3 linked regions of the Alligator mississippiensis genome follow. The protein of the gene in region 1 purifies or fractionates together with the protein of each later gene. This does not show direct contact. Links are inferred from orthologs where the notes say so. Each region holds a gene or a part of one and is shown on either strand. Other genes may lie near its edges.

Region 1 (10,058 bases):
AAGAACAAGTTTTTGCCTTTGTCCACCTTTGTAATTTTCATTCAATCTTTGCTGTTTAAAAGAAAACTTGTATCTATAAAAAAAAAAAAAGGAAGTTACCTCCATAATTTTTTTATTTTTTTTTTTGGCCTCCAATATGTTGTTAAAAGTCACTATCTTGTTAAGCTGATCACCTTCTAGTTGGATCACACTGCAATGGCAAATGAGAGCAAACACTGAGGGAACTGCTCCATAGTTGAGTCAGTAAATTCATGGATGTGCCTGCTTCCTGTATGCACAGAAAAACTGAGATAGAGGTCATGAAGACTCCTGTATTCTAAACATATTTCAGACTACCCAGTAAAAGTTTTTCTTCCAATTGTCAGTGAAAATTTTGGCCAGGGTTCTACCCATTACTGATGTTTCTGTCACCTTTCCACTACTTCTGTCCGGTGCAAAACTCCAGACTAAGAAAAACAATATTTAATTTTTTCCTTGCTATTTTAAGCATTTATTAAAGACTATAAAAGCAACCTGTTACTTCATCATTCATAATATCTCCCACAATGATTTGAACAGATGAAAAGTAGGCACTATTTGATAATTTAAACAAAAAAACTATTTAGAAACACTTGTACAGTTTGAATTTCCACTGAAGCAAAGAAAAATACTCACTGTCCTTTTCTCTAGAGTATACCTATGCCAGTCAGTGGTTCTTAACCTTGACTTCGAGCACCCCTCCATAATTTTTTGTAATTTAATAGCATCCCATTTAAAGATATTCTTTACCATGCTTACCTCCTGACAGCTCACAAAAGTCCCGTGGCATAGCAGAGTGGCCTTACTTGAATGCTAGTGCCCAGAGCCACCGTTTCCCATGGCTCCTCCCACCAGCTCCAGGAGCTTGCAGGGAAACAGCCCCATGGCCATCCAGCCACCTGCAGCAGACTGTACCGCTTGGACCATGGTGGTGATTGGCACAGGGGCTGCCATTAGGTGAGGGGTGTGCTTTTCAGCTCATTCACCAGCTCCCAGAGCTGATACAAGGGCCCACAAGGAGAGATGCAAGGACACCGGGACAGGCACAGAGTGCCTGGCATGTAGGGGCTCTTGTACACATGATGGCAGTTTAATCCTCAACCTGTACATTGAAATGGTATACTTTGAAATGGTGTACATTGAAATAACCCATACATTGAAATGGTGGGGCATAAAACAAAACCCTGAGGACTAAACGGTTTCAATTTGCCATCACATTACGGCACCTTTTTTTCTTGGAGCCAGAGCCTGCCTGCAGAGGGGAGGCAAGCTGGTAGCGGGCTGAGTGGTCCCTGAGCTGCAGGGGGGGGCACCCTGGTCCTTCCCTCCATGGTGGCAGCACCCCCCAGGGCTGCCTGGGCAGGCTGCTAGCAGGCCTGGTGCTGCCCCAGCTCGGAGGCAGCACCTGGCCTGGTCCAACTGTTCCCTGAGCCTGCCCAGGAAGCAGCGACCGGTGGGCTTCTAGCTTGGGGAACCGTTGAATTGGGCTGGGTGCTGCCTCTGAGTTGGGGCAGCACCCAGCCCACCTGGGAGGCCCCGGAGGGCACTGCTGCTGTAGAGGGAAGGACCAGGCCCCCTTGCAGCTCGGGGGCTGCTCAGCCTGCTGACAGCTTGCCCCCCAGCCATGGGCAGGCCCCAACGTTTCTCCCTTCAGCAGGCATCTACTGAAGGGAGAAACGGTGAGGAGCCTGATCCTTTTTTTCAGTGGAGCCTGCCTACCTCTTCCATGGCCCGGGGCAAGCTGCTGACACAGCGGTGGCCCAGGTGGTCACCCATTCTCCCCAAAGCTCAGGGGCTACTTAGCCCACTGGCAGCTCCTCTGGGGGAAAAAAAAAAAAAGGATCAGGCCCCTCGCCGCTTCTATCTTCAGTAGGTGCCTGCTGAAGGAAGAAGCAGCAAGGGGCCCAATCCTTTTTTCCTGCAGAGGCTGCCTGCAGCCAGTGACCGAGCTAACAGCTGCATCACTGCAATTTGCAAAGCTGCAAACTAAATTACATCTGGACAAAGTTTAGGTTGCAATGATACAGTCATTTAAACCCCCCAAACGTCTTGCATGTGTACACCGTGATGCTATTAAGCCACACAAAGTAACATTTTCGTCATGTGTACGTGTTAATGTCATCACATGTAGAAGCACCCTAGGAGCCAGTACTTAATTCCTCTCACAGGGGAGCACCCTGGTTGAGAATCCACATCACCCTGGTTGAGAATTACTAACCAGTACTGTCAGTGCCTCACAAATTTTTGACTCACTTTCCAAGTGACCCATATTTCACAATTGAAATCTAGGTCCTCTGAGTGCTGCACAGACATAGTCACTGGGAGACTTTCTATTTCAGATGGCTATGGTATGAGTAACAAATGCATCATTTCTCAATTTTAGCAAGAAAAAGCAAATGAGAACTTAGTGCCAGAGGTTCCTGGTCCTTCTGCTAAAGAACCTCTTGAAAAAGATACCAGTAATTTAATTTTCTGAATAGCAGGAAAACTATAGTATTACAATGATTTTTGAGCCATACAAAAATACCATACCATACAGAAAAGCCACAAGCTCCTGAGACCAGTGTTCTTAACTTTTTTAGACTCAAGGAACCCCTTGAAAATGTCTGCAGTTACTTAGTTCTCACTCAGTCCTTCCCTACCAAAAAATAACCTATTATTTATTGCTCTTTCTGCTGCAAAGAACCTGGAAAAACCACAACAGGTCAGAATGTTTTTAACACTCTGGTTTGCCATTTGAAATCTCTGGGTTTATCTTGTGAAGCATGTTTGCAAACCTAACAGTGGTAACATTATGTGGCCATGACACCTGTGAAAGGATCTCAAGGCACCCCAGGGTGCCTCAACATCCTAGTTGTGAATCCCTCATGAGGGCAGTTGTGGAGGTAAGGATTTTAAAATAGGTATTAGTTCAAAAATACAAAAAAACTCTCTTTCAATTCACATATTATACTGCTTTTATTTCTACTGTTTCTTAGCTAAAAACAAGCAGTATAGCACACTGAGATTAAATACTTTTTCCTACATGGTAAATTTTTGGCACAGATGTTTGTTTATTGCTACTTTTTAATTTGCTTTAGGTTGTGAATAACAAAGTAGGAAAAGTAAGATGAGCAGTGTATCCTCTTTGTATGATAATTAAATTAAGAAATTGTGAATTTATAAGGAAGCAGCTAGAGAGGGATCTACTTTTTGCCATTGTTAGGAGACAAAGTACTAAGAAAGATTGCTTAAGATATTCGGACTCTCTTTATAGTAATAATCACTACCAAAATGACTGCTCTCTTTCTATACTCTTACTGATCCTCAAACAGCAACCTATTTTGATTCTGCCGTAACTGAATCATAGAAAATTTGGGTTGGAAGGGACCTCAGGAGGTCATCTAGTTCAACCCCCTGCTCACAGCAGGACCATTCCCAACTAGATCATCCCAGCCAAGGCTTTGTCTAGCTGGATCTTAAAAACCTCCAAGGATGAAGGATGGAGAGTCCACAACCTCTCTGGGTAACCTGTCCCAGTGCTTCACCACCCTCCTCATGAAAAAGTTTTTCCTAATATCCAAACTAAACTTCCCTTGCTGCAACTTCAGATCATTGCTCCTTGTTCTGTCATCTGCCGCCACTGAGAACAGTTTAGCTCCATCCTCTCTGTAACTGCCCTTCAGATAGTTGAAGGCTGGTTGGTATTAAACTGCTGTCTCGGAACAGCTCTCCCCTAATTTCCCTGCCTGTAATTTGTTCAGAACAGAAATCCTGAATTTCAGAACTGTAGTCGCATCATTTTGGAATCTTATTTCGTCCAATATCACGGCTATCGTGAAAGTTATTTTTAAAAGGATAATAATATTCGGTAAATGTTTTTCAGTAACTTAAGAACCAAGACATTTTCTGCTTGGGGTGGAAGTTATTTTTCCTGAGATATAGCTGTTATTGGCAAAACACTAGAATTTGGGGCAAAAAAAATGTTTTAATTGACCCTGTGCGTACCTGCATGTTACAGGTTATAGCATGTTCTGCACTTCCTTGCGACTGCAAGGAACATGAGGACAATTCACATTTAAACCCAAAGAGCCAATCTTTCCACTGTGGCACGTTATTTACATTTTCTCTGCTTCCATTAATGGAATAAAAGAGTTGCATTTTATTAGCTCACCCTTTTACTTAGCTGCCAGGTATCTTGTTTGCAGCACAGTCTCACATCAGTGGACTTTGTTGAGATCATTCTATAAATTTTTAAATTTATATTGGTAACAGTATTGCACAGGTCCAAGTTAAAATTTAGAAGAAAAGCATTGAATACATTATAGCAGAGGCTTGCATACCAATAGGTCAGGCTGCAGCCTTACTAGCTTTGATGCCCGTACAAAGGGATTCACCTGCTTACAGCAAATTGTAGGGGTTATGTATTTCCACTTGAAAAAGGCTAACCAATTTTTTTTTCCCATTAGAAATATTGTCCAATTAAATAAACCTTCTTGTTCTAATAGTTCAAATAAAAGTCGAACTGTGTCAAAAGTTTTCAATATGTTCTCTTGAATAGAAAACCAGCACAAATATTCAAACATATTTAACAGTGAATTATAATCCCAGTTGTTAGATTCCTTATTTGGGACCTAGATAAACCAAATTACTTTGTTGTTCTGGAAAATCTTGGCTTTTTATGCAATTAAGAAAATATTTTTAGTTAATGAACACTTGCATTTAAAAGCTCAGGGTAAAAGCTATCATTTAATGCTGTACTAAAACTTAAATCAGGAAAGCACAAATTAATAGAATATTTTTCAGTTCACCTCCTTTATTTAAATATCGGTCAGAGAGAAGCGGGAGGCCGCACGCTTGTCTGAAATGAATGGTGACTACAGCTCGTGTTGTATTTCCACACACACTGAGTGACCCGCCCGCCCCACAGGTAAAACGAGACCTCTCCCAGGGATGCTGTGAAGCCCTCGGAGAGCCTCGGGAAGCCAGGCAGACCACAGCGCCGAGAGGGCTAGCGGAGGAGGCTCCAGACCTGCCTGGAAGACTCCTTTAAACCCAGCAGTAACATTTATTTTAATGCTTTGAATGTAATGCGTTATTACTGGAGGGATACGGTCAGGTTCATTTTCTTCCTCTCCCCCTGTCACAAATGGCGCATCGGCTTCTCAAGACGCTTCGCGGCTCACCTGTCCGCCAGGACACCCAGAGGTAAGAGCGGGACCGGGGACCCCGCCGCGGCCGGCCCGGGCGAGCAGCTGCCGCTGGAAGCCCCTGTCACTATCCCTGACCCTGGTGGGCCTGCGCCGGGGATGCCGCGGCTGTGGCGGGAGGGTCCCGGGTGCTGGCCGCGCGGGGCAGGGTCGGTGCAGCCCGACCCGCCTCGCCTCACATTTGTGGCCGCGGGGAGCGCGGGTGGCTGCGGCGGCGCCTCCCTGCCTTGCCCCGCGCTCAGGTGCGCGCGGCTCTGCCTCCCGGCGGCTGCGTGAGGGGCGCAGCGCCGCGGAGCCCCCGGGACACCCCGCCGGCTCGGCTCGGCTCGGGCCGGCCCGGCTCGTGCCCGCGCTCGGCGTGGCCGCGCGGCGCGCCCTCCTCCCCCGGGCGGCGCCGCGCCCGCGCCCTGCGCGATGCAGTGTGGGAATGGCCGTGGCGCTGGGGTTGGCTGAACGCGGCGGCCAGTCGAGGTTTCATGTCCGCCATGTTGGCCGTGGCGTATTGAGCGGAGCCGGAGCGGCGGCGGCGGAGGAGGAGACGAGCCAGCGCCCGGCCCAGCCGGCGCCGCCGGGCCCCGCGTCGGAGCGCGCCCCGCCCCGCCCCGCCGGGGGAGCCCCGTCCCTCCATGAGAGCGCTCGGCGGGGCCGGCTCCGCGCAGCAGCAGCAGCAGCAACAGCAGCGCCCCGCCGCGCCCGCGCCCCCCCGCCCCGCGCCAGCCGCCGCCATCGCCGCCCGACATGAGCAAACTGTCGTTCCGGGCCCGGGCGCTGGACGCGTCGAAGCCGCTGCCCGTCTTCCGCTGCGAGGACCTGCCCGACCTGGCCGAGTATGCCTCCATCAACCGCGCCGTGCCGCAGATGCCCACGGGCATGGAGAAGGAAGAGGAGTCGGTACGTGCTCCCCCCCACCCCGCGGCCGGGCCCCGCCATCCCTCCACCCTGCCTTCGCTGGGCCGGGCCCCCTCCTTCGCCTCTGCGCAAGCACAAAATGGCCGCCATCTTCTCCCCGCTCTCCCCGCCCGCGGGGCGCGGGGGAGGCAGGGCCCTGCCGCGGGGGGGGCAGCGCCGGCCGCTCGCCCCGTCCCCCGGGCCCGGCCGCGGCGGCCCCCGATCCCGCCCCGGCCGCGGCCGCCGGAGGGGCTCGCGCGGGCCCCGAAAGGCACAAAGGGGGTCACGTGACGCAGCGGGCGGCCGCCATTTTGTTGTCTGCGCTCCCTCCTCGGGCTGGGCCGGGCCGGGGCCGGGCTGCTGCCGCCGGGTGGCGCCGCCGAGCCGCGCGCGGGAGCAGGGCCCGAGATCCCACGTGGGGCAGCGGGCCCGGCCCGGCCCGGCCGCCCCTTGCGCCGCCGCCGCGTTACATAAGGGGTTGTGCCGCTCGCCGGCTTGGAGCTTCCTGGCGCAGCGCGGGGACGAGGTGCCGGCTGCCTCGCGCCGCGGCTCGACCGGAGCTTTCCACGTGTGAAGTGTGAAAGGGTCGTTGGCAACCCTCGGGATGGGGGGCGTGTTTGACTTTTCCCTGTGCGTTTGACAGCTCTTGTCGCTTTGGGTTCCCCCGGGACAGTGATTCCTCTCCTTCGCAGGAGGGGTTTGGGCCCCGACAAGGGGGTGCCTTCCTCCCCCACACGGGCAGCAGGACTGTGAACCCTGGAAGTGGCCCGTGGATTAGGGCTGCAGCTCACGCTTGCTACAAACTTCTGAATTTTAGTAGATTTTAAGTTGACAGGGCTGGTTTCAAGTGGTGGTCTGGGATGACGCTCTTGCTTGTGCTGCTGGCTCCTGATGCTCATTCAGTCCCTGTAAACTTGAAGGAAGTTCACCTTGGTTTTTAGGTGCCGCGTTCTGCACGCGCTGCTGTGCATTGACAGTTTCAAAAACTGACTGTGGACGTCTATGCAATGACTCTTAGTTTCTGAAAGAGCTGTGAAATGCCAGTTCTTTCTTATCTCTTCTTTGCTAGAATTATTTTCTCAAAGTTACAGTTTGAGGATTTATACTGTCGCATTTCCAGATCATATACAAACATTAATTATCGTTATTATCTCTTACTAAAACATCTTATCTTGAATGTAAGAAACATTTACTGAAAATGTTTGACACTGATGCTTCGTGGACGCTTCTTTTAGTAAAAGCCATTATTCAATTTTGCATTGAGTGGTTTTCACCGACTCAGATTAACTTTTGTGCATTAAGAATGGTTGGATACTGTGGGTGGCTTCAGTCATGTAGCTTTGCTTGAATCCAGATCTTCAGAATTTGATGGGTGAGGTAATCATCTTGATTTCCACTTGCATTAAAATTTAAGTAAAACAAGTTTTTATTATGATTACCATAGTAATTGGTCTGTCACATGTACTTTAATTGAAGTGTATATGATCAGTAAACTTTCATCTTTTGTCTGTCTTTTTTGCTGTAAGCTTAACAGATGTGAGCCTTTTGGGTAGAAAACTATTGTATTATGTTGTATTTAGGCTCAGGTGGGCTCACGCAAGGTTACCAGGTAGCCACTATCATAAACTTTACTGTTTGTAAAGAATCTGCTGCTATTTTAATTCTGATGTGATGAAGCATGGATTTTGCAAATAAGTTTGTTTTACACGTCTCTAAAATAAATGGCTAACTAGCAGTTTTAACAAAAATACCAATCTGTATGTGCTTCTGTTCTTAAAAGTGTTGTACTGAAGAAAGGTTACTTGTCACTGACAAATGCATCTGGTTAAACCCATTTAGAATTTCAGGGCCTTCTTAATAAATCAGTTGGTGTCCACTTTTTTTTCCTCTTCTTCCTGTTCCCTCCCTCTTAAAACTCTCTGCTACTTTTCTTTCCTGTGGTTATCTTTCTTTCAAAAAAACCCCAAACCATTTAGAGCATGCAGTCCCGGACTAGAGGCAAGACAATTCTGTGGACTGTTTCATTGTTTTTCCAAATTCCATAGGGGGGAATATCCACTTTATGTTGTGGAAAAGAGGGCATAAGTGAAATTGTGTGTATGTGCACATTTCTTCACCATTGACCACTGTGAACAATCACCTGTGGTGATATGCTAATAGTACTTTAACATCACTTCAAGTATGTGCTTTAATTTAAAAATCTGATTTTTTTTTTTTTTAAGAGTACCCTGTTTTCTGAAGGTGATTCATTTTTTTTTTTTTTTATTTTTTTTTTTTCTCCAGGGAAAGCAAAGAGACTTGATGTTCAAGCACTGCCTTTCAAGAACATTTAAATGCCCGTTTCATAGTTCTTGATGCACATTTCTCCGCTTACTTTTATCTGCCCCACCCCACCAAATAATTAGGGAAAGTAGGACTAATTTTATTAATAGCATGCGACTCTAGCAAAATGTTCTGAATGCATGGAGACAAAAATTACTAATCTTTCAGGATTAGTAATCAGGACCTGCATGCCTTTTTCCAGGTGTCTACAGCAGCTGTTCAAAAAGAATTGACAGCTTAATGTCTTAACTAGATTAAAATCATCCTCCTAACTAAATATAATGTTCCTTGCCATTTGATAAGCCAAGACTTCAATTATAGTGACTTTGTTTAGAGGTAGAAGACTTTCCAGGAGAAAGCTCTTTGTGTCATGTAATTCTAGTTGATAAATGACATACTTGAAGATTAATGCCCTCACAAGTTAATCTTGCAGCCACAAGTTCTTGTGCTATTTGAAAACTGTGTAAAAGTCATTGCTTAGAGAACCTAAAACGATTCGCAAGAGAGGAGAGAGAGAGAGAGTGAGTGTGTGTGTGTGTGTGTGTGTGTGTGTGTGTGTGTGAAAGATTGTAAACAGGAATAAAAAAAAGTTGGGATTTTCTTAAATTCATGCATTTCAGAAGTCTGAAATTTGAAGTGTGTGCGCTGGGAGGTTAGTTTGTATCCCTTTGTCTGCTCTATGATGTTTTCCTTTTAAAAATAACATGGAAGTGTATTTGTACGCCTGTTTCAAAATTATAAATTTGGATCTTAATGGAAATAGAATACAAAATGATGACTGGAGAGGTGGAGGGTGTTGCTGAAATTTGGGAAGAAAAATGTAGCAATTAAGTTTGTCAGTCAAAAAAAATTCAGTACTTTTTGTTTTAAGTTCAGTAAGTTACGTTTTGGAACGGGAAAACTGTTTTAGATGTTTAGAGATCTTTAGGAACATACTAAACCTGGAAGTCTCCCTCCTGAGCTGAAGGCTAGATTTGACTCTGAGAGTTTTCTGGACAAACAAAACACTGATAAAAAATGGTCCAAGAAATTTGCTGTAACACCACAAAGTGCTGTCAAAATATTATCTGTCAGTTTTATATTTAAAGACTAATTTTGTTAGCAATACTTTTGGTGCAATATAAAAAGTACATTTTTGGTGCTTTTAAAAAAGCTTGCCACAGGGGAACGATACATTTGTGAAACATAGATGTAGACAATCAAAGCCATATTTTCTGAAGTCCCTCAACTTTCAAGCAAAGTGGTAATGAGTATAGTTAAAATATCAGCAGCCTCAACCTGACAGTTTCTTAAGGTCTTCTTGGAAGAAGGACATAGGATAGGAACAAAGGGTTTTTCTCTCTTAATCCTGCATTTCTGCGCTTTGTGTTGTATAATAGTTTTCTTCTAAGACTAGAGTTGTGTGAACCAGAAACACTTGTTAGTCTTGTACTGGGGGTGGCGTATCCTCATTTGGGAAACAAAAATAAGCTATGCCAGGATAAGACATTTTTGTACCAGAATCATGTTAGGACTATTTTTTTAATAATTAAATTAGATATGTCAGTACCTTTAACTAACTTTAATAAACTTCCTAATATCTAGACTGTTTCTACACCACTTTCCGTATTTAACAGATGTGCATTTGTTTAGGGCTTAAGC
Region 2 (10,065 bases), on another chromosome or scaffold:
ATCAGCCAAATAACAGAGGTCCTCCTTCATATCTGTATGTCTAATACAACAAAAGAAGAGGAAATAACACAGAAGCAATGATATCCTATATTAACACTTTTTTTCTGAACACAATGTTTCAGCTAGCAACCATCTCAGGAGGAATCAGTGAGCCACATGTTTATAATTCTCACTATCCTTCATTTTCAGTGTGGCTTGGAAAATATTCGCAATGTATCAACAGCGGTTGCAATGCTGCAGTTTTATCTGGGACAGCTATGTTTGTAAGTTTTTAATATAAATTGCATATCTGGCAACAACCTTCCAGGTGTTCTTTTGAATTTCACTTATCACTTTGTAACAGAAAAAACCTGAGCGCTTTGTAAATATTAATTAAAACCATATGGGAGTGATCCAGTGGGCATGGCACTGCCCCTGTGTGACTTCAGGCATTTCTTTGTTTCATGATCCACTCTTTGTCTGTCTAAAACACAAGCTCCTTGGAGCTTAGGCTTTTCAATATCCATGTGCAAACTACCTCCCTTTAAGTACTATTGCAATCCTATTACCGCTTATAGACAATCTTGTAGAACTGAATGTGGATGAACCCATTCAGTCTCCTCAGAAATTTTAAGTCTTTACGGGAAATACAGTGTACTCCACTTGTCTGCATACTGGGTAAATTTGTCATATTTTTGCCTTATTTTGTATAATTGTCTTAATTTGCATGACATAATACCAGTCTTAATTTTTTTGCCTATAGCTCGCATTGTAACAAATATTGGTTACGTGCACAAACTGTTTAAGTGCTTAGCATGTTTTTTCCCCATTGCCTCCTTTGGAACATAGTTGTACTCTGATTAACTGCATAGAACTAGGTGAAAGGAAAGCAGGTGTCAAAAAAGCTGCTATTAGAAGCCTTAAAAATGCTGGGAACTACTTGTTTTATGGATGCTATCCCTTGGCATTTTCAAGGAGACTAAAAGCACCCATGATGCTATTAGGAATCTTGAAAATAAAGCTGGTTTGTCTAGCAGACACCTGCTTGTTGTCTGTATGCCTTACAAAATGAAGCTAATCAATTTGGGGTAGGTGACCACCTGTCCCTAATTGGGTGGGACAGTCCCGACAAGGGAAAATTAAGTCTGGGTCCTGGCCTGCATGACTCTGGGACAGCATTTTTCCTGGATTCCCAGTATTACACAGGGATCTGGGTTTTGTGTTCACCATGGAAAAACATGTGAATAGCAGGTTTCCCCTTACAAGCTGGCAGAGCTCCAGGGGCTGCAGGGAACGGGATGAAGGGGGCAACATGTGCATGTGAACACGTGCACGTGTCCAGGAATACAGCCCCAGGCAGCAGTGGAGAGCATCTCTCCCAGATGCCTGAAGGTAAGTCTATGGGGAGGGGGGCAGATTGAGGCCCACACAGTGAGAGGGAGTGGGGCAGGTCTGGCAGCTGGGGCTGAGGATGATGCCCAACCAAGGCAATGCATGGAGCCCGGGGCAGGAATGTGAGACCGCAGAGCCCAGCCGGGTGCCGGATGGAGGCGCGGGCAGCTCATCCAGGAGGTGGAGAGGGGGAAAGCTCCCTTCTGCTGCATGCACTCCTGGGCAGGGAGGCATGAGAGGTGCCTGTGCTTCCCCAGATTTGTACATGGGGTGGGGAAGGATGTAGGGCTCTCCTGCCCTCAAAAGCCCTGCACCAGCCTCACTGCCTGCTCACCTGGCAGCAGTGGCGCAAAGTTGTGTCCCTCGCTGCAGCTGGGTGCACAGGAGGCACCTTGCCATGGTGGCTCAGCTGGCGCAGGCTCCTGGGGACAGATAGCAGAGCGAGGAGCCCAGATCCTGCAGTGTACATCCCACATCCCCCCACGGGCTCTTGCAGCTAGCCCTTGTTCTGCCTTGCTGCCGGCTGTTGGCTGCTCCTGGGAAAAAAGCTCCTATTTCACAGCCCTGCAGATGGCATTTAACACATTCTGGTAAAGAGATCCCAGCTTTTCCTTCCGTCTCAAACAGAATAACCCAGCTCTGAGCCCCGGCTTACGAGTGGAGCTTCTAGTTTAACAGGGGGAAAACCAGGCATTGCTTTCTACAGGACGATGCTGACTGCTGTTCCCCTTTGCAGATGCAACAAAAATGGTCCGGGGGTTGGGGCACATGATTTATGAGGACAGGCTGAGGGAACGGGGCTTATTTAGTCTGCAGAAGACAAGACTGAGGGGGATTGAATAGCAGCCTTCAACTAGCTGGACTGTTCTCAGTGGTGGCAGATGACACAACAAGGAGCAACGGGCTCAAGTTGCAGCAAGGGAAGTTGAGGATGGATAGTAGGAAGAAATTTCTCACAAGGAAGGTAATATAAAACACTACAGCAGGTTACCCAGAGAGGTGGTGGGATCTCCATCCTTGGAGGTTTTGAAGACCCAACTAGACAAAGCCTTGGCTGGGATGATGTAGTTGGGCCTGGTCCTGCTAACTCGGAACTAATGTTCCCATAGGAGCAATGTTATAAATGGGGGATTGGTTCCTGAACCCAGGTCCGAAACCCTGTTTTCACCAGAATAACCCAGAATGTTGTGCTCAACCAATTATAGATGAGTCATATAGCTACAGTAATGTATTTATATTGTAAATAGCAATCCTATTGATTTGCAAGGACGTCTTTGAGGTGACTTTGTTGGGCCTTTTGAAGGGCTCTTGGCGGGACCTTTCAAAGGGCTCTTGTTGGGAGTCTTCTCAGGAGTCTTGTCCACAGCTTTGCCAGGACTCCCATCTGCTTTCTTAAAGAAAGCATCCCAGGAAGTTGGCACAGATGTTCTCTGGGGAGAATGGCAATGCCATGAACTCCTTCACCGACGTGGCGTTGGGTCCAGCGTTGTCAAGTCAAACCCGGCGTCCAAAAGCGTCCACGTACAAACGTCAGAAGTGCCGTTTGTTGCAAGTCAAAATTGATGTCAAGGGGTCCGTTCATAAACGTTGTAAGTGCCGTTCATCACAAGTCAAGACTGATGTCACGGTGTCTGTTTTCAAATGTCCGAATGTTCACAAAAGCTGTAAGTGCCGTTCGTCGCAAGTCAAGACTGACATTGAGGTGTCTATTTATGAACATTGTAAGTGCCGTTCATTGCAAGTCCCGACTGCCACCAAGGTGTCTGTTTTTGAACGTCCTACATGCCGTTCGTCGCCAGTCGAAACCAACATCACGGTGTCTATTTTCGAATGTCAGAACTGCCGTTCATTGCAAGTCAAAACTGATGTCAAGGTGTCCGTTTTCAAATGTCTTAAGTGCCGTTTGTCGTGAGTTTTGGCTGACATCAAGGTGTCCACATACAAGTGTCAGAAGTGCCATTTATTGCAAGTCGAGACTGATGTCCCGGTGTCCGTTTTCGAATGTCCCAAGTCCCGTTCATCACAAGTCGAGACTGATGTCAAAGTGTCTATTTACAAACGTCATAAGTACCATTCGTCGCAAGTCAAAAGTGACGTCAAGGTGTCCAGTTATGAGTGCCGTTTGTCTCAAGTCAAGACTGACATCATGATGTCCGTTTTCAAATGTCCTAAATGCTGTTCATTGCAAGTTGAGACTGATGTTAAGGAGTCTATTCATGAACATCGTAAGCAATGTTCGTCACAAGTCCTGGCTAACGTCAAGGTGTCCATGCGCGAGTGTCAGAAGTGCTGTTTGTCACAAGTCAAAACTGACGTCACGGTGTCTGTTTTTGAGCGTCCTAATTGCCGTTCGTCGCAAGTCCTGGCTGACATCAAGGTGTCCATGTACAAGTATCAGAAGTGCCGTTTGTCGCAAGTCGAGACTGACGTCACGGTGTCCGCTTTCGAACATCCCAAGTGCCATTCATCACAAGTTGAGACTGACGTTAAGGTGTCTATTCACGAATGTGGTAAGCGCCGTTCGTTGCAAGTCAAAACTGACGTCACGGTGTCTGTTTTTGAGCGTCCTAATTGCCGTTCGTCGCAAGTCCTGGCTGACATCAAGGTGTCCATGTACAAGTATCAGAAGTGCCGTTTGTCGCAAGTCGAGACTGACGTCACGGTGTCCGCTTTCGAACATCCCAAGTGCCGTTCATCACAAGTCGAGACTGACATTAAGGTGTCTATTCACGAACTTTGTAAGCGCCGTTCGTCACACGTCAAAACTGACATCACGGTGTCTGTTTCTGAGGGTCCTAATTGCCATTCATCGCAAGTCCTGGATGACATCATGGTGTCCATTTTCGAATGTCCTAAGTGCCGCTCATTGCAAGTTGAGACTGATGTTAAGGTGTCTATTCATGAACATCATAAGCGCCGTTCATTACAAGTCCTGGCTGACGTCAAGGTGTCCACGTACACGTGTCAGAAGTGCCGTTTGTCGCAAGTCGAGCCTGATGTCACGGTGTCCGCTTTTGAACGTCCCAAGTGCCGTTCATTACAAGTCGAGACTGACGTAAAGGTGTCTATTCACGAACATTGTAGGTGCCGTTCGTCGCAAGTCAAACCTAACGTCAAGGTGTCCGTTTTCGAGTGTCCTAATTGCCGCTCATCGCAAGTCGAGACTGACATCACGGTGTCCATTTTCGAACGTCCTAAGTGCCACTCATCGCAAGTTGAGACTGATGTTAAGGTTTCTATTCATGAACATCATAAGCGCCGTTCATTACAAGTCCTGGCTGACGTCAAGGTGTCCACGTACACGTGTCAGAAGTGCTGTTTGTCGCAAGTCAAGACTGACGTCACGGTGTCCACTTTTGAACATCCCAAGTGCCGTTCATCGCAAGTCGAGACTGACGTAAAGGTGTCTATTCACGAACGTTGTAAGCGCCGTCCGTCACAAGTCAAACCTGACATCAAGGTGTCCGTTTTCGAGTGTCCTAATTGCCGTTCATCGCAAGTCGAGACTGACATCATGGTGTCCGTTTTCGAACGTCCTAAGTGCTGCTCATCGCAAGTTGAGACTGATGTTAAGGTGTCTATTTATGAACGTCATAAGCGCCATTCGTTACAAGTCCTGGCTGACGTCAAGGTGTCCACGTACACGTGTCAGAAGTGCCGTTTGTCGCAGAAGTGCACGGTGTCCGCTTTCGAACGTCCCAAGTGCCATTCGTCACAAGTCAAGACTGACGTTAAGGTGTCTATTCATGAACGTTGTAAGTGCCATTCGTCACAAGTCAAAACTGACGTTAAGGTGTCCGTTTTCGAGTGTCCTAATTGCCGTTCGTCACAAGTCCTGGCTGACGTCAAGGTGTCCACGTACACGTGTCAGAAGTGCCGTTCGTCGCAAGTCGAGACTGACGTCACGGTGTCCGCTTTTGAATGTCCCAAGTGCCGTTCATTGCAAGTCGAGACTGACGTTAAGGTGTCTATTCATGAACGTTGTAAGTGCCATTCGTCACAAGTCAAAACTGACGTTAAGGTGTCCGTTTTCGAGTGTCCTAATTGCCGTTCATCACAAGTCCTGGCTGACGTCAAGGTGTCCACGTACACGTGTCAGAAGTGCCGTTCGTCGCAAGTCGAGACTGACGTCACGGTGTCCGCTTTCGAATGTCCCAAGTGCCGTTCATCGCAAGTCAAGACTGATGTTATTCATTAATGTTGTAAGCTCCGTTCATCGCAAGTCAAACCTGACGTCACGGTGTCCATTTATGAGCGCCGTTCATCGCAAGGCGAGACTGACGTCAAAGTGTCTATTCACGGTTCGTCGCAAGTCAAACCTGACGTCACGGTGTCCGTTTATGAGCGTCCTAATTGCCGTCCGTCGCGAGTCAAGGTGTCCGTGTACGAGCGTCGTTAAAAGCGCCGTTGGTCGCCAGTCAACGCCTCCCGTGTCCGAGCGTGCCCCTTGCCGTGGGTGTGGGTGTGCGCGGGCACACACCACGTTTGCTAGTGCAAACCCCCCGCACTCGCGTGCGCTGGCGGCCCGGTGCAGGCCCGGGTGAGGCGCGCGCGGCCTGTGGCGGGCGGGCGCCAGGGGGCGCCGGGGCCTGTCGTGGCGGGCCGGGCCGGGCCGGGCCGGGCCGGGCGCCATGGGGGAGGCGGAGGGCGGCTCGGCGGAGAAGCCCCCGGCGCCGGCAGCGGCGGGGGGAGCGGGGCCGGAGGCCGGCGCGGCGGCCGAGGAGGCGGCGGTGGTGTGGAGCCCCGAGGTGGAGGTCTGCCTCTTCCACGCCATGCTGGGCCACAAGCCCGTGGGTGAGCGCAGGCCGCAGCGGAGCCTCGGGCTCGCGTAGCGGCGCCAGCCGGGGAAGGCGCGCGGCGGGCGGGCACCGTCAGGATGGACCCACCGCTCATCAGCAGCGAGGGCAGCCTCCACCGGGCGCGGGGACGCGGGGGGGGGTGCTCAGTGCCAAAAGACCATTCACAAAAAACCCCTAAAAAAGTAATTATAAATATGATAAATCAAAATCCCAGCATGATGCTTCTCAGCCAGGGTGTTGCAGCCCCTTGGGATCGTGTCGGGGTGCCGGCACGATTCCCCCAGAGGTGATACACAGGACAAGCCTTCAGACCCACATTTGTGACCTCTTTGCAACAGGAGAATTGCTCCGGGATGTTGCCGAAGTCAAATCATGAGTGAAAATGAAGAGCTGTCGTTTTCCAAAGGGGTCTTCGGGTCTGTTGTGGGGCGCCGCGAGTCTGAAAAAGTGTGAGAGCCGCTCTGCGCTTTTATTATGTATTTAAAAATTTAAAAAACCTGAGTAAAAGCCAAAAGCTGGCGTTTTCTAAGCGGCGTCTTGCGTTTAAAAACCTTGAGAGCCGCTTCTGTAGGTCTAGAGACGGCGCGGCGCGGCCTGGGGCATCGGGCGTTGCTGCCTAGGGGTTGGGAGGAAGAAGCAAGAAGACCCAGAAATGTGTTTATTTGAGTAAATACCCTTGGATAACCAGTCTTTCCAAACTACTGGTTTGCACGAGTCGAGGAGAGCCCTGTTGATCCTTATAAGTATACATTTATAAGTATATCAATATAGTTATAAATGTAGAAAAATGTGGGCCTATACGTATATCAATATAGATATAAATGTATAAAAATGTGGGCCTATACGTATATCAATATAGTTATAAATGTATAAAAATGTGGGCCTATACGTATATCAATATAGATATAAATGTATAAAAATATAAGCCTATAGGTGTATATATAGTTATAAATGTATAAAAATGTGGGCCTATATGTATATAAATATAGTTATAAATGTATAAAAATGTGGGCCTATATGTATATAAATATAGTTATAAATGTAGAAAAATGTGGGCCTATACGTATATAAATATAGTTATAAATGTAGAAAAATGTGGGCCTATACGTATATCAATATAGATATAAATGTAGAAAAATGTGGGCCTATACGTATATCAATATAGTTATAAATGTATAAAAATGTGGGCCTATACGTATATCAATATAGATATAAATGTATAAAAATATAAGCCTATAGGTGTATATATAGTTATAAATGTATAAAAATGTGGGCCTATATGTATATAAATATAGTTATAAATGTATAAAAATGTGGGCCTATATGTATATAAATATAGTTATAAATGTATAAAAATGTGGGCCTATACGTATATAAATATAGTTATAAATGTAGAAAAATGTGGGCCTATATGTATATCAATATAGTTATAAATGTAGAAAAATGTGGGCCTATACGTATATCAATATAGATATAAATGTATAAAAATATGGGCCTATACGTATATCAATATAGATATAAATGTATAAAAATATGGGCCTATACGTATATCAATATAGTTATAAATGTATAAAAATGTGGGCCTATACGTCTATCAATATAGATATAAATGTATAAAAATATAGGCCTATACGTCTATCAATATAGATATAAATGTATAAAAATGTGGGCCTATACGTCTATCAATATAGATATAAATGTATAAAAATATAGGCCTATACGTCTATCAATATAGATATAAATGTATAAAAATGTGGGCCTATACGTCTATCAATATAGATATAAATGTATAAAAATATAGGCCTATACGTCTATCAATATAGATATAAATGTATAAAAATGTGGGCCTATACGTCTATCAATATAGATATAAATGTATAAAAATATAGGCCTATACGTATATAAATATAGATATAAATGTATAAAAATATAGGCCTATACGTATATCAATATAGTTATAAATGTATAAAAATGTGGGCCTATACGTATATAAATATAGATATAAATGTATAAAAATGTGGGCCTATACGTATATCAATATAGTTATAAATGTATAAAAATGTGGGCCTATATGTATATAGATATAGTTATAAATGTATAAAAATATAAGCCTATAACTATATAAATATAGATATAAATGTATAAAAATGTGGGCCTGTACGTATATCAGTATAGTTATAAATGTATAAAAATATAAGCCTATAACTATATAAATATAGATATAAATGTATAAAAATGTGGGCCTGTACGTATATCAGTATAGTTATAAATGTATAAAAATATAAGCCTATAACTATATAAATATAGATATAAATGTATAAAAATGTGGGCCTGTACGTATATCAATATAGTTATAAATGTATAAAAATGTGGGGCTATAAGTATATCAATATAGATATAAATGTGTAAAAATATGGCCCTATATGTATATAAGTATATAAATAATACCAAGGGGGGGGGGCATTTTAACCTGGCATTTTACGGTTAGCCCGGCGTAGTTCAGTATGAATTACGCTGTGATGTGATCACCGCGTGTAAACCTAAGTGAATAGTGCCGCTCACTCAGACTTCTTCCTTCCTTCAGGTGTGAATCGCCACTTCCACATGATTTGTATCCGAGACAAATTCAGTCAAAATATCGGACGTCAGATTTCGTCCAAAGTGATTTGGGACCATCTAAGCACTATGTACGACATGCAAGCACTTGTGAGTATTGAAGCTCGGCGTAGGGGGAATACTGATTTTTCTTCTGTAGGCTTCACTAGCTTTCTTACAAGTGTCTTGGTCAAAAGGCCTGAATCTTGTGTCACGGCGGAAATTGGGACTAAATCCACTGGAGTTTTCCCTGTGTAAAATGTTACAGGAGGAGAGGACCCAGCCCGTTATTTTTGGTGTCACATCTTCATGGAGTTCTCTGGAAGATTTTTGGCCCTTACAACCCGATCTTGCAAGTCATCGGTTCATACTTAACATTACCCCTGTTAGTACGTCTACGCACTTGCACAGAGTTAGTATGCAGGGCCCAGGGCATTATTGCCATACAGGCATCTTGATGTCACTATTACGAGACTCCTGACCTCCCACTTATGAATGATTTAAACTTCTCTTGCATATGAAATGACGTGTGTGCGTTAGAAAACTTCCGGACTGATATTTTAAGAAAATCCTTTACAGATTTTTTTTTTTTCCTTTTTAAGCATGAATCTGAGATTCTCCCTTTCCCGAATTCTGAGAAAAACTTCATCCTGCCTGAGGAAATTATTCAAGAGGTGAAAGAAGGTGAGATTTGATACCAGTGTTTATTAGTCTCAAAACAGGAAATCTATTTGAACTCCAAAAGGAGTGAAAGCAGGATGAATGTACCAGCCTGAAGCCAAATCACTGTATTGTGATGTTAAGGGTCATGGAGTATATCCATAAGTGAAATGTAGATAGGATCTTTGCTACCTTGATTTGGTACCAGCAGATTCAGGTTAGAGACTTTGGGTATGAATTAGGTCTTTCACTTACTTCAGTGGGACCTGGGTGCAGAGATGAGAGAGGAATTTGGCCCTTTGGAAATAAATCCAGGGAATCAACAATATATTTGGGTGTGTTTTGCACTTCTTGGCTGCACTTCATCGCAGCTGTTGTCAGGACAGAATCTTCCTCATTAATACTTTGGTTATAATTTTATTATTGTTGTGCTTGAAAAAAAGACTTCGACAACATAGCAGATGAAAATCCATTGTACGCCTGTAGTAAAATCCTTACTGGATAAGAATTATTAGGCAATCGAACAGCAGTACAATTACTTTTTAAGCACTTAGGGCTCCTATACATGTGTAGGAAGGCTGCTCCAACATGCTGTAATTACAGCGCGTTAATTGAGTCTGCTGGAGCATGGTTATTACCA
Region 3 (10,069 bases), on another chromosome or scaffold:
GTGTTCACTGCCTCAAGAGATATGTTGTCAAGGCTGATAGATCATGACTAGCGAACACCCTGTCCTAGGACCACAGTCTTCTTGATTGTCACGGTCAGGGGAAACATCCTGCAAGCATGGGAGTGGCAATTCATGAATATTTGTAGTTGGACTTCTTCATGGGCGGTGAGTGCCCATGTTTAACACAATCCAATATATGGATGATTTCTTGTTATGTAATTTATGTTCAAATTTTTTTTTAAGTTTTATTGCTTAAGGATGGCTCCTCTGAGATCAGTGATGGAATATCCAGGGAGGTTAAAGTATTTCGCCATGTGCTTTTTGCGTGTTTCTGGAATTGATATCAAACTGATATCCATTCATTTTTTTTATATAGGAATGTCCCCACCTAGCCAACATAGACTGTAGAGGGGCATTGTAAGTAGGTGATGGCATTTATGACATTGGCAGAGGAGCAGGTGCATGAACCCTGGATGTTATAATTCACGTTGTTTGGTCCAATAACGATGTGGTGTATGTTGATGAGGGAGCACAGCTGGTATCTGGGTCTGTAGCAAGACCGAGTGGCTTGGTGAGATTTGGAGTTAGGTATTTGCTGCTGGAGAGAGGATATTTGAGGTCAGGGGCCACACAAGTTCAATTATCAAGCCTAATCCCTTTCTTTACAGATCCAAACACTTTTTAAACTCATTTGAGTTAACACTTAATACTTTCCCTATTTCTCAGTAAACCTTCTAATTTAAAGGGATTTTTCTCCCCACTAAAGGGATTGTTTCTCAAAATGTTTTTATAAACCCATTCCTTCAGGAACATGGAATATACCCTTTGAATGTGTCATTAACATGTAGGATGTGGGAAGCTGCTGTTGCTATTGCCAGTGTGAAATATTTTTGTTTATTCTTGTGTATCTGAGCAGTTTGCTCCTTCTTCACTGGGGAGCCCTTAGGGTACCTGAATTAGATGTAGAATAACATGGTGCCTTTTTGATTAATACACAAGTCTGCCTACTGAAGCATTGTTGGCTATCTTAGGGCTTGTCTGAACAGAGGTATACTAGTTTTTTTAAATGTTTATTGAAGCATTGTTTTTATCTGATACAGGAATAAACATGTACATAAACTGATAGATGCTCTGTGTGGATACTCCTATACAGGCTTAAACCCAGCTAATCAATTAGATAAACCAATACTCCAGGGGCAAATGGAGTGTTTAGATCCCTCTTAATGAAAAGGATATGCTTGAGGCACAAAATAGAGCAAATAGCACCATGACAGCTGTGCACAAACAAGGAGGCTGTGCACTTGAAAGCCTGATGAATGAACAGATGGTATCAATAGCGTAATGATGTAAGTAAACTATATCAAAGTAGGAGATCATAAAGCAATATCAAAATTCAGCCTGGCCCAGCAGCCATTGACAAATAAGCAGACTGTACTCAGCTGTCACAAATATGAGCATTCATATAGGGCAGGGGTCAGCAACCCCCGGCACACGTGCCAAGCATGGCACGCAAGGCCATTTTGCTCAGCACACCACTGCCAGTCTGGGCTCTAAGCAGCTGCTGCCAGCCACAGAGCTCAGGCTGCTCCTAGCAGGTGCCTGGGAGGCTGCAAGCAGACCAGGCTCCGTGGGCTGGCTGCAGCCGGGAGGCTGCAAACAACTGCTCTGGCCTCTGGCATGTAGGCACTCTGACACCTTCCAAGGTAGACATTGTGTTTTTTGTGGCACTCCAGCCAAAAAACGTTGCCTAACCCTGATATAGGGCAAGAGTTTTCAATGAACTATGCCAGCAAGATGGGGGTCTGCTAGTCCATTGCCCTTTAGTGGCCTGGCCTTCCCCATGTGAAGGTGGGTGCATAGAAGCTTCTGATTTAGATGTCTGTGGGCCAGCCACAAAATCCTCAATTGCTGAGAAACTTTTCTGAGAAGGATTTAATACCATTTTCATGCTGCCACCTCTCCCTAACTTGCCAAATGCCAACTAGCACCAGCTTGTGATAACGTGTATAGCTTCATACTACCAAGTGAGTCGTTCCCTGAAAACTCTTCCCCACGTGAACAAGCAATTGCAAAGCAAGCTGTGCAGGCAGGGCTAGTGTCAAGGAGATGAGATCGGTGCTTTATTATGTAGCACTTTGGACCTACATTGTCTGCTGTTACCTAATATGCCAAGCTACTGGAAAAATTAAAATATTCTGGCAGTGACCAAGGGAGGCTTGCTCCTGGTTCTGGATGAAGGTGGGGATGTAGTATACAGCAGACTGGTGTTGGGAGAGAACTCTTTTGCAGCTGTGCAATGACCAGCAGTAATGGGAGATCTTCAAGATGAAGAAAACCCCTTTTCTGGAAATCTGTGCAGGTGGCCTGCAGTGAATGTGAATTCCAAGATCTAAAGGAAATAGGTTTAACCTATGGTATAATAAAGCAAGCCTCCTGATGGAATCTCTTCCACTTGGCATGGAATAGGTAAAGACTTGAAATCATGCAAAGATGCATGAAAAAAATTCCAAAGAATCAAAAATGCTCTTGGAGTAAATGGTTGCTGGGGACTGCTTGTACTTCTTAAGCATAGCTCAAATATTTCATTTTCATGTTCTGCTGCTTAACAAAACTTGCTACCAGCAGAAATTCTTCATGAGGATGGAAAGTATAGCTGCTTCACAACCTTGGTTAAATTTCTAGTAGTTTTTCAAGTGTCTAAAAATATGAAGAAGCACCTAGACCTAGGGCTAGATCTAGTAAAGGATTTAGGCTCTTGGTTCTGTATTCTGCTCTAGGATCTGGTGTTAAGTTCCCTATACCTCCTCTACAGAGCACAAGGAAAGTTTGAGAACCACATCATTAGCAGGTTTCATAGATTTCATAGGCATTAGGGCTGGAAGAGACCTCGTAAGGTCATCAGGCCCAGCCCCCTGCCCAAGGGGCAGGAAGTCAGCTAGGGTCAAAGGATCCCAGCAAGATAAGCATCCAAATGTTTCTTAAAAGTGTTCAGAATAGGTGCTTGCACCACGTCTGGGGGGAGTCTATTCCAGGCCTGGGGGGCTCATACAGTAAAGAACTTTGTCCTTATGTCCAGCCTAAAATGGTCTTGTAGGAGTTTGTGACCATTGGACCTTGTCATCCCTTGGGGCGCTTTGCTGAACAGGCATTCTCCCAGATCCTGATGCATACCCCTAATGTACTTATAGGCTGCCACCAAGTCACCCCTGAGCCTGTGCTTCTCCAGGATGAAGAGTCCCATGGCTCTCAGCCTCCCTTCATAAGGCCTGTTCTCTTGGCCTCTGATCATGCACGTGGCTCTCCTCTGGACTCTCTCAAGCTTCTCCATGTCCTTCCTGAATTGTGGAGTCCAACCTTTCAACCTTCTTAGACTCAGCACAACCCTTGGGAAATGCTAGCTCTTGGCTTTCACTTGTTTGACTGAAAAACAAAAAGTACTAGAGCCATGAATGGCATGTGCCCCCGGTAGCTGTGGGGGCACGGCGGTGGCAGGAGTGTGGTGGCAAGAGCAGCAAGAGCCTGTGGCAGTAAGTGGGAGAGCTCCTGAAGACTCCACCAGCACTGTTGGCAGCAGGGGAGGATGGCGAACACGGACCAAGGGTTGGCGACCACCTGCAGCTGCTGTCAACATCGGCAGCAGCAGTCAGCAGGAATCGCGGACTGCCCACAGATGCCACTGGTGGTGGCAGCAGTGGGGTGGCAAGCGGCGATTGCCCATAGGCGCCGCTGAGTGTAAGTGGTGCCTTTTTCCAGGGGGTGCACCGCAACGCCCATGACTAGAGCAATTCTTTTACTGCAAGGAACACAGAAAGACCATAAGAACATAAGAACTGCCATTTGCTGGGTCAGACCATAGGTCTGTCTTGCCAGGTTTCTGCAGAGGGGTAGCATCACATAAGAGTGAAATCATGTCTGGCTGTGGAAAGCAGGGAGGCATAGTCTGCAAGCCTAGGTCTTCCCAGGCAGGGCTGCAGTTCCCTGTAGGCCGTGTGCACTGTATGCTTTACAAGGGCAATTATGCTTCAGTGATGGAAAGCCTGATGACTGAAACCCTGGAATTGGCTGGGAATGCTGCACGGGACAAGAAAACTCGCATCATTTGCACCACCTCTAGCTGGCGATCCACAACGACAAGCTCCTGGGGGGAGGTCACACTGCTCAAGGCAGGGTCCCACCCAACATCTAGGTGGTTCTGCTGCCTAAGAAAACGGAGAGCCACAAACCCAAGGGCATGTGAAACCTGTGCAGATTCAGGCCTAGACTTGGAAACATTCATAACACAACCCCCACACCTCCCCACGTCACAGAGGGGCAGAAAGTATATGCTAAAAGGGAGAGCAAACTGAGTATGAGCAGGGATTCCCTACCTTGCAGCCTCCAGCATTTAAGGTCTAGACCAAGGGTAGGCAATCAGAGCAGTCATTTTGCTTGGCAGTCACACCTCTGGGAAGGGGCCAGGCCTGCCGGTACCGCCACAACAAGGATCAGGCCCCTTGCAGCTCCCCCACCTTCTGCCCTGGGGACGCCAACACCTTTCAAGCCAAGGTTGCGGGTGTTTTTGCCACTGTGACCAAAAACATTGCTGATCCCTGGTCTAGGCAGTTCTGATTCAAAGGCTGGACCCCTAACTCCCTCACTCAATAGCTACCAATACCCTTCCTTTGCAGCAGGCCAGGGTGTTTTTGACACTACGGGTGCCTATTTGAAATCTCCGGGTCGCTTTAATGAAACGCGCAGTGCTGCTACTGCACGACCCCTGGCTGAGAGTCACCGTGCCAAGGAGGGCAACACCACCTGTCTGCCCGTCCCACCTGCTGCACCCGGGGCGGGAGATCTGCATCCTCCAAAGACCCCTTCTTTGCAGGGACACAAGTTGGGGTGGCCAGGTACAGGTGTTGGGCTGCAACTCCTCCAGTGACCTAGGGCAGGCTCTGGTGCCTCTCCCTGGGGTGTCTTTAATTTTCCCTGCGCCTGAGGAAGGGCGTGTGTGTCCGAAAGCTTGCAGAAAAAGACAACGTGTCTGCATCTCCCCCGGGGGATTCACCCCCGCAATTCCTTACCCAGCAGCTGCCCTAAGCCCCGCCCGGGGGTGGAGGGGAGGCACTTGCAAGTCCCATGTGTGGGACGGGGTGGGGCAGGGCAGAGGCAGGTGTCCGGGTCGCAAAAAGGCCCGTAGCTGTGCCTGAGCCTGGGCGCGGGGCCTCGGAGGCTGTAGGTGCCCGCGGGCAGCGCCGCCAGCGCCAGACAAAATGGCGGGCGGAGCCGGGCGCGCGGGAGCCAGCAGAGGGGTGGAGCAGGGCGCGCACGCGGGCCCTCGCGCCGCGACGCGCCGGGTCACTGGGCCTACACCGCCCCCCCCCTTCGCCCCGCGGGGTTCGCCAGGCAGCCGACGGCTCCGCAGGGCCGCGCCTGTCACTTTAAGTGTGGGCGTGCCTTCCATTGAGGCCCGGGCGCACGAGCCTCCCGCCCCACCCCACCCCTCTCCTCCCCGCCCGGCGGCTGGGCTCCGATTGGCTCCTGGGCCGCAGAGTCGCCACGCCCCCCTCGGCGGCGATTGGCTGGCGGTGGGATCCGGGTGCCCGGATGTGGGCACGTTCGGCGGTTATAAAGCACCGGGGGAAGGCGGGAGCCGGCGCAGTTTGAATCGCGGCGGGTACAGGTGTGCGGTGCTGCTGGGGTCTTGTTGTGTGTGAGAGCCGCTCGCTGCTTCCTCCCTCTCCCGCGCGGTGCTGCAGCGCCGCTTACGATGGTAGGAGGCCACGGAGGCGGGGGACGGTTGGGGGTGGGGGTTGCTCAACCGCGCTGCAGCGGCGGGGAGGAGGTGGTGGCGGCTGCATGGGGAGACTGGGCGCAATGGTTGGAAAGCTGGCACGCGTTGGGGCGCCCTCGCGTCTCGCCGGCCGCTGGGCTGTGGGGGAGGGGGTGCGCATGCGCGGCGGGCCGGCGGGAGCGCTCAGCGCCTGCGCCTAGCAAGGGACTCGGACTGCTGGGCGTGGGGGAAGAGCGCATGCGCGGCGCCTTGGCTCGGGCTGCTGGGCGGGGAGCGCATGCGCGGGGCTGTTGGGCGGTTCTTGCCTGAGACCCGAGTGACTGACTTGCTTCCAGGTGAGCTTATAGGAGGAAGAAGCTGGCTCCAGTGGGTAGGAGTTCGCTTCTGACTACCGCCTTCCTCCCTGTTTTGTAGGCTGGTGGTAAAGCTGGGAAGGACTCTGGGAAGACCAAGACCAAAGCAGTGTCTCGCTCGCAGAGAGCTGGGCTGCAGGTGAGTCTGCAGGGCTTCATCCCATTTATTTGTCCTTTAAGCCTTTTGCCTTTTTGTTTGGGAGTTTTTCTCTGTTTGCTGCTTGTCTGCTATGGGGCAGTCTGCTTCAGGAGCAGCAGGCTTCCATGTTAGAACAGCTGCAGTTGAAGTCCACTGATTGTCATGATTTTTAAAAGGCTAGTCTTTGGAGGGTGCTATTTTCAGCGCCTAGGTTTTGCATTACTTGAAGAGGTTTTTTTTTGTTTGTTTCAGTGCAGTTAAGGAGTAACAGCTTGGACTGGGAATGAACAGCTTGAACCATAATGCTGCTGCTGCTACTATATGGCAGGGGTCTTCAACCAGAGTGCTATGAGATGCTTCCAAAGGGGCTGTGGCACCCATGTGTCCTGTGCCAAAAGATGAGCAATTGCTCTTTCTCCTTGCTGGGGTTGGGCACCTCTAAAATCTGTCCAGCAGTACTTGTAGCTAGTCCCCATGCCTGGCAGCTCTTGCACTGGCCACCCTGCTCCTAACAGTTGCTCCAATGTGTGTGCATGTGAAGTGCATGAGCAGGTGGCCAGATATAGGTAGAGGACTACAATTTAAATCCTGAGTTATCCCCTGTCTGTTTCTCTCTTTCTGCCCCCTCCTTCCCCCCCCCCCCCCCAATGTGCCTGGCGTGGTGAGAGGCTGCAAGTGCATCTGGCTTCAGTTGCTGGCATTGGAAGCCTAGTGCTTACCCCTTCATGCACAGATCAATGGCTGGGAGGGGGCAGATGCTGGCAAAAGGGTACAGTGGGGTGAGGTCTTGCCTTGACACTCTTACCTGGTGTAAGTTGGCTTCTAACTCAATAGTTCTCAGCCAGGATGCTCCTAAACTCTGGAAAAAATAAAAAGGGCTGTTTTGAGGCTAAAAAAGCTGAGAATTGCTGTTTTATAGGATAAGGAATCATGCAAGAAGTGTATTCAAAATCACTATGCTTTAAATCTGATCAGCTTTTGTTACATCAAATAACAAACAGGCCTTCCTGTGATTTATTTTATGGTAGCTGTTGGCAGGGTTTCAGTCTTTCATTTGCCAAACCTTTTATGGTGTTTACACTATGTTCTTCCTGCTCTTGATGTCTTGCAGTTCCCGGTTGGCCGCATTCACCGTCATCTGAAGTCCAGGACCACTAGCCATGGACGTGTAGGAGCTACTGCTGCTGTGTACAGTGCTGCTATCTTGGAGTACCTGACAGCTGAGGTAAGGATACTGTTGGAGAGACTGGGAAAGGCAGTTAATATTCTTAAAAGGGGTAAATTGACTTAAATTGAGTCCCTTTAAATTGCTATAAATCAGTAGCCCAAATTTAAATAATTTTATCAAGTTTCCCATTGTATTTTTGTTTCCTTCCTTTTTTACAGAAAGGTTGTATCATCATTGGTTGATCTAACAGAACTTGTCCTACTGTAAAAACTGGATTAAGTTGCAAGTTGTATACATGTTTCCTAGGTACTCAAACTCTCTCTTCATAGCTTGTGTACCTAGAAACACATGTTCCAAACTTAGTTAACTGCAGTTTTTACAGTAGGTCAGTGTGTTTTTATTGTATCAACCAATGATAGATAAACAATATGGTCTTAAATGTATAACTTACAGCATTGCTAACAATCTGAATGTACTATTTTGGCATCCTAAATGTGAATTGTATGTTGTTCAGTAGATTTAATGTGCTCTTTTTTTATTAAGATGGTGACTTGTTTAATTTGGTGTTGGTTGTGTGTTTAAAAGCAACTTTAATGTTTTGGAAATAGAAATCATTATCAAGACTTGATTAACACTTGGATAACTAATTTATTAAACACTAGTATTAACTGTTATAGTATGCCATGAACTGCAATTTAGTGAATTAAACCAGTTATTTCGGATCACCCTGGGGAAAACTTTCTAAAATGTCTAGGTCTTGATTTCAAGACCAGTCTACCACTTTGTACACTTGAGCCCAGTGTTGGTCCTTTGCTCACACTCCTGCTTATTCCTCCCTGTTTCTCCTCCACACAGGAGATGAACACCAAACCAGTGCTTCTCCCTGTGATGTAATCCACCATACCCTCCCTAGCTTTTCCCTCGTCCCAACAAGCCATGCTTTCTGCTGTTGCAGCACACAAGGCTAGGGGGCTACAATATTTTAGTTTGGAGACCATGAATTGCATGAACTTCAAGTCTGCTTGCATCTCTGCATAGCCAAAGGAACCAAGAAGGGCCGTTTAACTGAAGTACCCAAACCCTTAAGAAGCCCCAGGGGGTTGGTAATTACTGAGCAGATGGTTGCTTTGCCATGAGCTGAGAAATAAGCCTCCATTATGGGTACAGTCATCGATATTCATAAACTGAGAACTGAGCCAATTGGATCGGGTAAAGACACAGACAGGCAGGAGTTTTGATACCTTCTAGGTGGGCCTGGTAGATGATGCTGATCAAGGAGTACACAGCTAGAAGAGGCCAGGTTCAAACACTTGTGATTACTTCGTTGATGCTTTGTATCCAGCATTATATAACCTTGCAGGGCCAAACCCCTAATACATGAAATATTGTGCTGTATTTCTTTTAAAGCTTGACCTCAAAAGTTAAATGGCTTCCCTACCCCCAAACCTTTGAAGAAAATCAACCTTTAAGTCCAGAGGGTTTTTTTATTGACTCAATATTTTATTTAAATTATATTTATATCTTGTACCTTAGTCTATACTGTGTTAAATTCAGGGTTCATTTTAAAGTGGCATACTTTTTTAAAGGGAAACTTAATTATTCATTTAAATCCAACTTTTTTTGCTTAACTCGGACAAATAAAAGCTGCATAATCATTGCCACTTGTATTCTGAGGTTTTAGGATAACAGATTTTCTGCTGTAATCAGAATTTGCTTTCATCTAAAAATACTTCAGTGAACTATTTTAGTGAGTCTTGAGGATCAGCAGGAAGGGAGTTAAGTTGGCATTTTGATGGAGGCCATGGTGTGGGAGTGAAGGATGTTGCATAATACAGTCAATGTTAAATCAGAATTGTACAAAACATGGGCTATCTGTGCTGTGGCATAGAGCTGTGTTTAACCCTTTTTAAGGAGCCCTATCCTGTGAGTCACACTATTAAGAGTACCTATCTGTAGGAGAAGTAACTACTAAAGCTATAAACAAGACATGGTATTTCTTGTGGGACTGGTTGTGCTCCATCTTCTAGAATGGAGAAGTTGTGGGTTTGACATCTCTACACATCTCCCTTCAAAGTGGCTGATTACACTGCTGCTTTTCCACCAGTAGGTGGCTGGAGAGAGCACACATCACAGTATGCCTGGTGCTGGTCAAGTTCCATAGGATCCCTTGGCTGCAAGTGCTGACAGAGCACCTGCTTTTACATTTTGGGTAGGTGGTGACATTTTTGTAGGATGAATTTTGGTGTTGGTCACTGCAGCTTGTGCCTTTTGAATATCTGCCCTTATTTCTGGTGTACTGATGTGGCCATCATTGATCATAAGCCAGAGCTTTCACCAGCAACACCTGCTATGGATCTGTATATAGTAATAGCCTTGCTGGCCCAGTGTCATTAACTTGTGGGCCTCAATGGCTGCTGTTACTACTTTCATTAGCCCTCAAGAACAAAGGTTGGGGGAGAAGCTCATGTGTGCTTGCTGCCAAACAGTAGGTGGGGCTGTGTCTACATCTGGCTTGTACTGGGCAGCAGTAGATACTGCTCCCCTAAAGCTGTTTTGGCTGCAGCTCAGCATCTGGCTGAGCGTATAGGGGATCGACTCCAAGTCATGAAGCGGTGTTTCTGGGCCAAGGAGATAAGCAG

Evidence for each region.
Region 2: the proteins of EPC1 (region 1) and MRGBP purify together in Homo sapiens (affinity purification with mass spectrometry; 6 studies listed by BioGRID and IntAct, counting the BioPlex papers as one, with this or other methods). This does not show direct contact. The link is inferred for Alligator mississippiensis from reciprocal best matches to the Homo sapiens genes EPC1 and MRGBP.
Region 3: the proteins of EPC1 (region 1) and histone H2A.Z purify together in Homo sapiens (affinity purification with mass spectrometry; 4 studies listed by BioGRID and IntAct, with this or other methods). This does not show direct contact. The link is inferred for Alligator mississippiensis from reciprocal best matches to the Homo sapiens genes EPC1 and H2AZ1.

What each region holds. Positions count from the first base shown.
Region 1 is NC_081828.1:193,083,548-193,093,605, reverse strand, and holds the start of EPC1 (enhancer of polycomb homolog 1), read left to right. Parts: upstream 1-5,619; 5' UTR 5,620-5,945; coding exon 5,946-6,098; intron 6,099-10,058. UniProt on the Homo sapiens protein: Component of the NuA4 histone acetyltransferase (HAT) complex, a multiprotein complex involved in transcriptional activation of select genes principally by acetylation of nucleosomal histones H4 and H2A.
Region 2 is NC_081832.1:4,882,125-4,892,189, reverse strand, and holds the start of MRGBP (MRG/MORF4L-binding protein), read left to right. Parts: upstream 1-5,987; 5' UTR 5,988-6,002; coding exon 6,003-6,165; intron 6,166-6,508; exon of another isoform or gene 6,509-6,552; coding exon of another isoform or gene 6,553-6,619; intron 6,620-8,754; coding exon 8,755-8,876; intron 8,877-9,367; coding exon 9,368-9,449; intron 9,450-10,065.
Region 3 is NC_081825.1:161,262,196-161,272,264, reverse strand, and holds the start of histone H2A.Z, read left to right. Parts: upstream 1-5,617; 5' UTR 5,618-5,746; coding exon 5,747-5,749; intron 5,750-6,184; coding exon 6,185-6,262; intron 6,263-7,373; coding exon 7,374-7,487; intron 7,488-10,069. UniProt on the Homo sapiens protein: Variant histone H2A which replaces conventional H2A in a subset of nucleosomes. Nucleosomes wrap and compact DNA into chromatin, limiting DNA accessibility to the cellular machineries which require DNA as a template.